Linked DNA regions of Rattus norvegicus. The protein of the gene in region 2 interacts with the protein of the main gene of each other region in a biochemical or structural test. Links are inferred from orthologs where the notes say so. Each region holds a gene or a part of one and is shown on either strand. Other genes may lie near its edges.

Evidence for each region. The genes of interacting proteins can lie anywhere in the genome.
Region 1: the proteins of Kit (region 2) and Tec form a complex in vitro, tested with the Homo sapiens proteins (2 studies listed by BioGRID and IntAct, with this or other methods). The link is inferred for Rattus norvegicus from reciprocal best matches to the Homo sapiens genes KIT and TEC.

What each region holds. Positions count from the first base shown.
Region 1 is NC_086032.1:35,705,484-35,709,711, forward strand, and holds the start of Tec (tyrosine-protein kinase Tec), read left to right. Parts: upstream 1-1,386; 5' UTR 1,387-1,440; intron 1,441-4,228.
Region 2 is NC_086032.1:32,975,956-32,980,184, forward strand, and holds the start of Kit (mast/stem cell growth factor receptor Kit precursor), read right to left. Parts: upstream 2,858-4,229; 5' UTR 2,814-2,857; coding exon 2,747-2,813; intron 1-2,746. UniProt on the Homo sapiens protein: Tyrosine-protein kinase that acts as a cell-surface receptor for the cytokine KITLG/SCF and plays an essential role in the regulation of cell survival and proliferation, hematopoiesis, stem cell maintenance, gametogenesis, mast cell development, migration and function, and in melanogenesis.

The DNA.
Region 1 (4,228 bases), about 2.7 Mb from region 2:
GGCTGGCCAGCAAATGTCCAGCTATGTTTTTGTTTCTGCCTCCAGCTCTGGAGTCCAGGTAGGAAACAACTTTCTATCTGTCTGTCTTCCTTTCTTTCTTTCTTCCTTCCTTTCTTTCTTTCTTTCTTTCTTTCTTTCTTTCTTTCTTTCTTCCATTTTTTTAAAAATATGGGTTCCACCTAATCAATCTGCACTTTCGTAGTGAACATTTTACAAATTAATTTCTCCATCCCAAAGGCTTTTGGGGGACAGAGCTCAGTCTTTTATTTCCAGGGACTATACATGAACAATACAGTCCCATCCTGTGTCTCTCTTCCTCTGAGAGGTCCTCATATCCCTGCCGTGGCTGGCCTAGAACCACTTATGTAGACCAGGCTGACCATAAATGGAGAGATGCCTCAGTGGTTAAGAGCACTGACTGCTCTTCCAGAGGTCCTGAGTTCAATTTCCAGCAACCACATGGTGGCTCACAACCATCTGTAAATGAGATCTGATGCCCTCTTCTGGTGTAACTGAAGACAGTGACAGTGTACTCATACATAAAATAAATAGATCTTTTAAAAAGTGCATAGGAATGGGCTTGACTTTGACTCTCAACTGTTGGAATTAAATATGTGGGTCGCCATGCTTGTCTGAGAGTACAGGATGGGTAATAGTGACTAAAAGTCACAACTACCATCAAAGACAACTTAGACTTGAAGGTAGGGATCAAACCAGGGCCTTGTGCATGTTAAGCAAATATCGTATCACTACAGCCCCAGTCTTTCAAGGCCAGCTTCTCAGGTAGCTAGCTAGCTAGATGACAATAGGTGCGTTCTTTCCCTGTGTCTAAGAACTTCACGGGATTTAAAGTCAGTAACTTCAAGATTGTTTTCATTACTAGTGTATCAACACTAATAATATAAGTGACCCTACGCTAGGCTCTGATGCTTCAGGCCTGTCAGTCAAATGACCCGTTCTTTTATCACCGCAAGGCACATCATCATCCGGTTTGCCCGCGGGGGGCGGGGGTGGGGGCCAAGCGGAAGTGGAGGTCGGTTCCCTGTTCCCACAGGGCTCTCAGCCACCCACAGGTGTCACTGCTACCGGCTCTCCGAGCCGGAGACGAAAGAGCATTTCTCTGGACGGTTCTCTTAGGATGGGAAGTCCGGACTTAGAGAGACCCCACGCCGCGTCTGTGTGGATAACAGGCGCTCTCTGGAACTTCGGCGGCAGGACGGCGAGCTCGGGCACCAGTCTTTGACTTTGAAATCGCGGAAGGAAGGTGGGAACTGGCGGCTGTGGGCAGCGGAGGGCAGGGGCGGTGCGGTGAGGGGGCGGGGCCAGGGAGGAGCTAGGCAGTGGGCGTGACGATGGGCTTGGTCAGCGCTTGCCAAACTCCAGGCTCCGCAGTTTGGCCCGCGCTGTCTCCTGTCCTGTGTCAGCACGCGCTCGGTCAAGGTAAGAACCCAGGGACTCTCGGCCAGGAGGATCAGAGGGGTGCGCGCTCACGGAGGTGGCCTCCACCTGCCGGAGATTGATCTTAGTGGGATTAGGCAGGATTTTTCTACCCTTCACATGGAGGTGGGAGCGTCAGGTCAGAGGCCCGTCCCCCTTGGGCCAGGAAGAGGGGACAGGTGCGCTCCCCTGATGGCCGCGCCTTCCCTGGTGGCTGCAGATCTGAGCCCTTTTGGACTTGGGATCTAAGCCGAGAGCACTTTCGCCTGAGTTCCCTTCCCAGTCGAGCGGCAGGGAGGCCTTTCTCCTCTCTGCCTGTGCCGCGGTAAAATTAGAATCCAGGAAGATGGTCCACAGTTGCTTGTGCGCCGAGCAGGTGCACTTATTTCTTTAGTTATTTTTCCCTTCTGGAAAGTGGTATCTGGATCTTGATAAACAGGGGTTTGAAGAATCAATGTGGGAAAAACTAAGTGGACCTTGTCCCAAGAAGGTGCAATTTTCCCTGGATTATACATTTCTTAACTTTTTTCCTGTCGTTGGCGAATGACTGATATGTTTCTGTGTACCAGGTCCCACCTCGGGTTGATCTTTGGAAACTGGACTATTTGATTTAGAAGAGTTGATCTCAGTGTTAGATTGGGACGACAGGGTGGCTGGCTTAGTTAAGTGGGTTTGAAGCCTGTCCAGAATAGTATGCTTTAAGCAGATGCCTTACATTTTTCCAGTGAGTGGCCATTTTCCTCTTAGGAAACTCTGACAACCTATTCCCGTCTAGATTATTCTCTTTTACAGAGTCGGGGAGTGTTAGGAGGAAGCATCAACTTATCAGCAAGTCTCCTAAGTAAGACCCGGGGTTTAATAGTTGAGTGAACAACACTGGTAGCTCTGTGGTCTGCAAGACTCAAAATAAGGAACTGCTTGATATTTACTGGGGGGTGGGGGGGTTGGGGGTTGGGGAGCTGTGGCTTACACGTTTGTTCAGTTATATTTTCATTGTTTAAGAAAGGCTTATCTTTTCGCCGTACACTTATTAATCTGGTCACTATTCCTATCCTTGTCATCGCTGGGTGCTTTCTGTAGAGTGCCTATGTTAATCACCCTCATTCTTCCCACAAGGGTGTGTGCCTTTGGCTTTGTGGAACTGTGTGGGACAATTATTGTAAACACACACAAATCAATGCTGAGCTCTAGCTGGCAATACCTTTGCCCTACATGGATCTGTGGCCTAGAATTTTTCTCTTTTTCTTTCTTTCTTTCTTTTTTTTTAAAGAAGAGCTTTTAAAGATTTATTTATTTATTTTGTATTTGAGTACACTGTAGCTGTCCTCAGACACACCAGAAGAGGGCATCAGATCTCATTATAGATGGTTGTGAACCACCATGTGGTTGCTGGGATTTGAACTCAGGACCTCTGGAAGAGCAGTCAGTGAACTTAACCACTGAGCCATCTCTCCAGCCCTCTTTTTTTTTTTTAAAGGATTGTTTATTATACTTTATGTATGAGTACACTGTAGCTGCGTTCAGACACACCAGAAGAGAGCATCAGATCCCATTACAGAGGGTTGTGAGCCACCATGTGGTTGCTGGGAATTGAACTCAGGACCTCTGGAAGAGCCGTTTCTCCATTCCCTTTCCTCTCTTCCTAAACAGTAAAGCATCTAGGGTATGAATGCATGGTTTAGCATTGCCAGGGTTTCCTTGCTTTCCTTACATCAAGGTGGTCTTGTTTACAAAGCAGGGCAGAGGCTACATTTTATCAAACCTGTGACGCTCAGTGGATGGTAACGTCCCTCCCAACAGCTGATCCGGAAAGGAGGATGGAGAGACTGGATAATTACTGGCCCATTTGTATTCTTGAAGAATGCCTGGCCTCCTTGCCTTCCCCCAGGCACCCAGGGCCTCTAACCACACCTCTGCCTACAGGTTCTCCAGGCTGGCCTGGTTGGTGCCTCTCTTCCTAGCCCTGCACCCGTTCTACTAGATTTTGGCATTTGCTTCACCCCTCCCCGGGTCTCCACTCCCATCTGAGGAAGATGACTTGTTGTCTACAGATCATTAAGGGCATTGATAACTCCGCTTGCTCATGGCTCCTCTGCCGATTCCCAGTGTCTGTGGACATTGTCCCTGCTCAGAGCCCTTACGAAGCTCTCACCTTGTCCAGTGAACAGCGGGTGATGCAGAGTCTTTGAAGTTGAATTCATAGCGAGAGTTTTGGGAGGCAGCCATTTTGTTCGGATTAAGGTCCTAAGTGGGGCGTCCAAGTCCGTAAGAAGGGAATGAAGTTAACTTCCGATCACGGGCAGCGGGAAAATGATCTTACTCCGTGTAATTATGCTACTAGAAGAGATTTGTTGGTAAAAAACAGACACCTAGAGAAGAGGGTGTAGAAGTTTTCTGTACCTCCACACCAGTCTCCTCCTAGGCCTGCCTTTTAATCCATGCCTGGGTCAGCCAGTCCTTCCTTGGGTCGGATTATAACTATTAATTTCTTCTGCACATTAGACCGCTCGGAGCTCAGGTGACCCAAGCTACCATGAAACAGAGGTTGAAAATTACATTTCCAGTTTAAAGGGGGAAAAAAAAAAAGGAAGGAAGGAATTAAAACAGCAACAACAGCAGCAGCAACCAAAACCCCACAAACAGGGTGCTACTGGGGAAACAGAAGGAGCAAACAATTGTAAACATATGCAGGCACAGAATTTTGAGCTCAGAAATGGCTAGATCAAGATAAGCCACAATATTTATGGCAAGGTCAATATTCACAGCTAAGCTAAGCACAATTTTGTGTTCC
Region 2 (4,229 bases):
CCTCAAATTGAGAAGACTAACCAAAACATCCTAAAACAGGCAGCCTGAAGCCATCTTACCCAGATGAGCAGTCCTGGACCCCCAAAACCTCCAACAGGGCTGGACTTATTGTAACCACTCATTAAATACTTTTGTAAGTATCTTACTTTACAACAGACTCTGTATAAGGGATGCACATGGAGCTGAGCTCGGCTTCCTTCGCTGGCTGTTTTGGCCAAGTGACTTATCCTCCAATTGGAAAACAGTAGAGGAGAGGGAATAGACGCTGTTGTGGTCCAACCTCCTGTGCCCCCTGAGTACAGAAATGGCAGGCAAAGCTCTCAGTTCGAGGCCTGGCAGGCATTTGCTGATTGTGAAGCCCCACATATGCACAAAGCACATCCATGATATAATATGGAAAGCACACTAGAAAGCGTGTTGCACAAGCACGGCAGGCATGCCATTTATAACGTCATAGGAAAAAGGAATGTGTGGATGGGTGGGGAAAGCCCGGAATGGGGGAGAAGTTTAACTATTAGGGTCTATCTCTTCACACGGAACTATCAGATTATTTCCAGCAGGATCATAAACCAGAATGCCAGGTGCATGAATGACTAGAGGCTTGCACCTGCAGGAACAGGGGGACGTCTGATTCACTGTTCTAGGGCCATCCTGTTGAGCCATCCTGTTGAGCTGTAAATGCCCTGGAAGGAGGGGTAACTGCAAAGCAGGCACATGTTAGCCCTCCAAAGGCTACAACATAAACAAAAATACAAACTGCTTCCCGCTAAACCTAAGCCGGGAGCAAAACAGTAAAAAAAACACACACACACACACACACACACACACACACACACACCCCAAATGGCCCTTAGACAAGAAAGCAGCTTTCTGAAATTCTGAACTCCCCCTGATCCTTCATGATGCAAATGTTTTCAAGTACCTTCAGGGAAACCCAAGCCCCCCACCCACTCCCAATTTAAATGACCGCCCAAGGGCACACAACCAGGGAGGCAAAGAAGGTTAGAAACTGGGGTAGAGAAGGGAATTACAAACACACTGTGTGCCAGGAATCAGACCTTCAAATTCCCTTTGCCAAAAAGTTACTGGCCAGAGCACACTAACCAGGGGGAAAATGCACACCACTGACCCGTTTCTGTTTTCAAAAGGGAACTGTGATCTTTGTGGTGCTCCACCTTGGTCTAAAGCAGAACAAGGTGGAAAACACAAAGATCACTGGGGTCATTTTCAGCTAACTGGTCAAATACACCTAGGAATCTGAACACTCATTTGTGACCCCCCATGACCCCTCCCCTAGTGCAGAGGTTCCGTTGCAAGGCTTCCCCCACAGGAAAGCCCTCTCCCGGCCTTTCAAAAGCATTGAGGGAATGAGATCAGGAAAACGCAACCGCCAAACGGTAGGCTCAAAACAGGTCACAGAGATGCTGGCCATCTGACGCTTTACTCCAGCGCGCAGATTGTTCTCTAGTGCATCAGGGTAACCTTAAAAGGTTCCTGGGTTTTGTTTTGAAAATGACCTGGGAGAGAGTAAGCTTTCCGGGACTAATCAGGCAACCTGCACAGGCAGTGCACCAGCGACACCTGGCAAAAAGGGGCAGGGCTGAGGAGCTCCAGGAGCCTCAAGATCTGGAGACCCAAGTTACCCTCCAGAGGTAACAAGGTTTTCAGAACAGAAACAAATGCTATTTGCAGGACGCTTACTCTCACCCCTCACCCCCACCACCTAGCCTCCCTAGGCAGCCCTGAGTATGGCTATCACGAGGGAGAGGGTGTCAGGATCTCGGGATCCCCCGCAAAAAAGGCCACCTGCGATTACAAGGCACACACACTAAAACCAGAGGTTTCCAAAGCTGGAGCGGGCTGACTTGGTCCTGCTGCAGCCCGCACGAGGTGGCAAGAACAGCTGCGTCCCCGCACGCAGTCGCTGCTTCCCAGAAGCTGGCAGCCAACGTAGGCTACAGCAGCTCCCTTGGCGCGTGGCAGCAATGAACACCGTGCGGCTGCAGAGAGGGGCGAGTCTCTAGCACGAGATTTACAAAAGGAAAAAGTCTGCAACCTAGCGGCTGCTCGCCACACGCCCGGCTCAAGTTGTCCCCATAGCCGCCACCTACAGGCTCGTGGGGTCCCGCCCCAGAGCCTCACGCCGCGTGCTCCCCGTGCAAAAAAACGGGGGGGAGGGGACAAGCAAGCCCGAGATTCGTCTCCACGGGTGGCGCCGCGCACGACGAGAGCGGCTGCGGTTGAGCCCCCAGCACTGTGCACAAAGAGCGCCCGAGCTGGGGAAGCAGCGGCCCCGAGAAAAGGCTCTCCAAGTTTGCCCAGCGTGCGTCCGGGGACCCGTGGGCTGGTCCTCCCGGGCGCCGGTCACCCACGCGCAACTTTTAACAAAAAGGGAGCCGTGGCAGCACCTCACTAGGAAAGAGGACGCTCTCCCTGCGAAGCCCGAGGCCGCGCTTAGTCGGCACAAAAGCATCACCAAACTCGCCCGCAGCCTGCAGCCGCTGTCCCGGCTCCCAGAAGACCCTCGGCCCCGGGTCTCCATTGCCTGGGCTGCGGTCTCCCAGCTCAGGTGAGCGAGGCGAGCCACCGGAGTCCAGCGTCCGCCCGCCACCTTCGCTGTAGCTGTAACACACAGGCTTGGGAAAAGCCAAAAGCTACCACTCTGGACGCACCCAGGTGGCACCCCTCCCGGACCCGGGCTGCGCCCACAGGGGGTGCAATCCTCCTGCCTGCCGCTCTTTCCCACCTGTCTGGCCACGGAGCAGGACCAACAGGACGCAGAGCAGATCCCAGGCGCCGCGAGCGCCTCTCATCGCGGTGGCTGCGCTAGACTCTGAGCTCCTCTCTCTGCTACAGCTCTCGCCCAAGTGCACGGAGCGCGGCAAAGCCGAGCCCCCAGAGCCACTAGCGGCGCGCGACAGCCCCTCCTCCAGCCCTCCTCCCAGCGCGTGGCCACGCCCCTCCCTTCTCCCGCCCGGGTCGCACTCCCTCCCGCTGCCTGGTGCCCGGGGCTCTCGGACTGGAATATGCTGATTCCAGGGGCGCTGTGCCCTCTAAGACCTGGAGCCCCCATAGGCCCTCCACCCAGAATCCTCTCCCTCCCAGCGCTCTCCCTCCGTCGGTGGTTCTTCAGCCCGAGGCGGCTGGCTGACCACGCAGGTGCTGCCCGCGCTTTGTGAAGCCAGGCGCCACGCGCGCATTAGGCACGGGCCAGCCACCTGGCAGGTGCTCTCTAGACAATAAAGGACAACCACAGGTCCCTCCAACACTCTCAGGAGCGGGGAGAATATACTCGGCTAATGATGGAGGTGTTACTAGTCGGGATTGCGGGGCGAAGGGATTAGGAAACTGGGTCCCCAACATTTCTTTCTGTTCCTGTTAGTAGAGGAGGACAAATCAGGCGGGCGTCCCTGACCTCGGTAAAAGACCGAGCCCACGTTTAAGTAATTTTTCACGCTCAGTTTCTCCACCTGCTGCGAAACCTGTAAGAATACAGCTGATTTCTATTGGCCAGCGTGGACCTCCACCCAACCAAGCTCCTGCTGAGACTTGTGGAAACTGGGCCAGTGGAGTAAGAAGAGGCTCCCGGTGAAGTAGTTAGCTTTGAAATAATGGTTTTTAAAGCCCATTTGCATTTGGGTGCCTTTTCTTTTGTGTTATTATTTTTATCTCACCCTCAATCTCCCCCCCGCCCCTCGCGCCCCTTTCCCCACCTCCCTCCGACTCTGGTCCGCCTTAGGGGCAAGAAAAAAGTAAAATAATTTTCTTTTAAAGTTTTTCTTTAATGTGTATGAGTGTTTTATTTACGTGAATGTGTGTGTGCCACGTGTGTAACTGGTGCCCAGGGAAGTCAGAAGAAGGATGTCAGATCCCCTGAAACTGGAATTACAGATGTTTGTGGATCACCTTGTGGGTTCCTGGAGCTCAATTAGTCTTAATTTTCTTGTTCTTAACTATTGACCTATCTCTCCAACTCCTAAAGTAATAATCTTAAGACAGTTTCTACCTAGGAACATTTTACAGTCACCGTGGCTATCTGTGAGTGGACAATAACAATCTGCTCTGGAAAGGTTCTTATAGTTTTGTATCCCAGTATCCGGGTTTACAGTTAACCTCATGAAGCAGAGAGAATAAACGTTTATTATTGTGGATCTTAAAGCACACCAGGATTGCACACTTAGTAGTTACTGTTTGAGTGTGAGGCCTCATTCCAAGATTTTTTTCTGGTT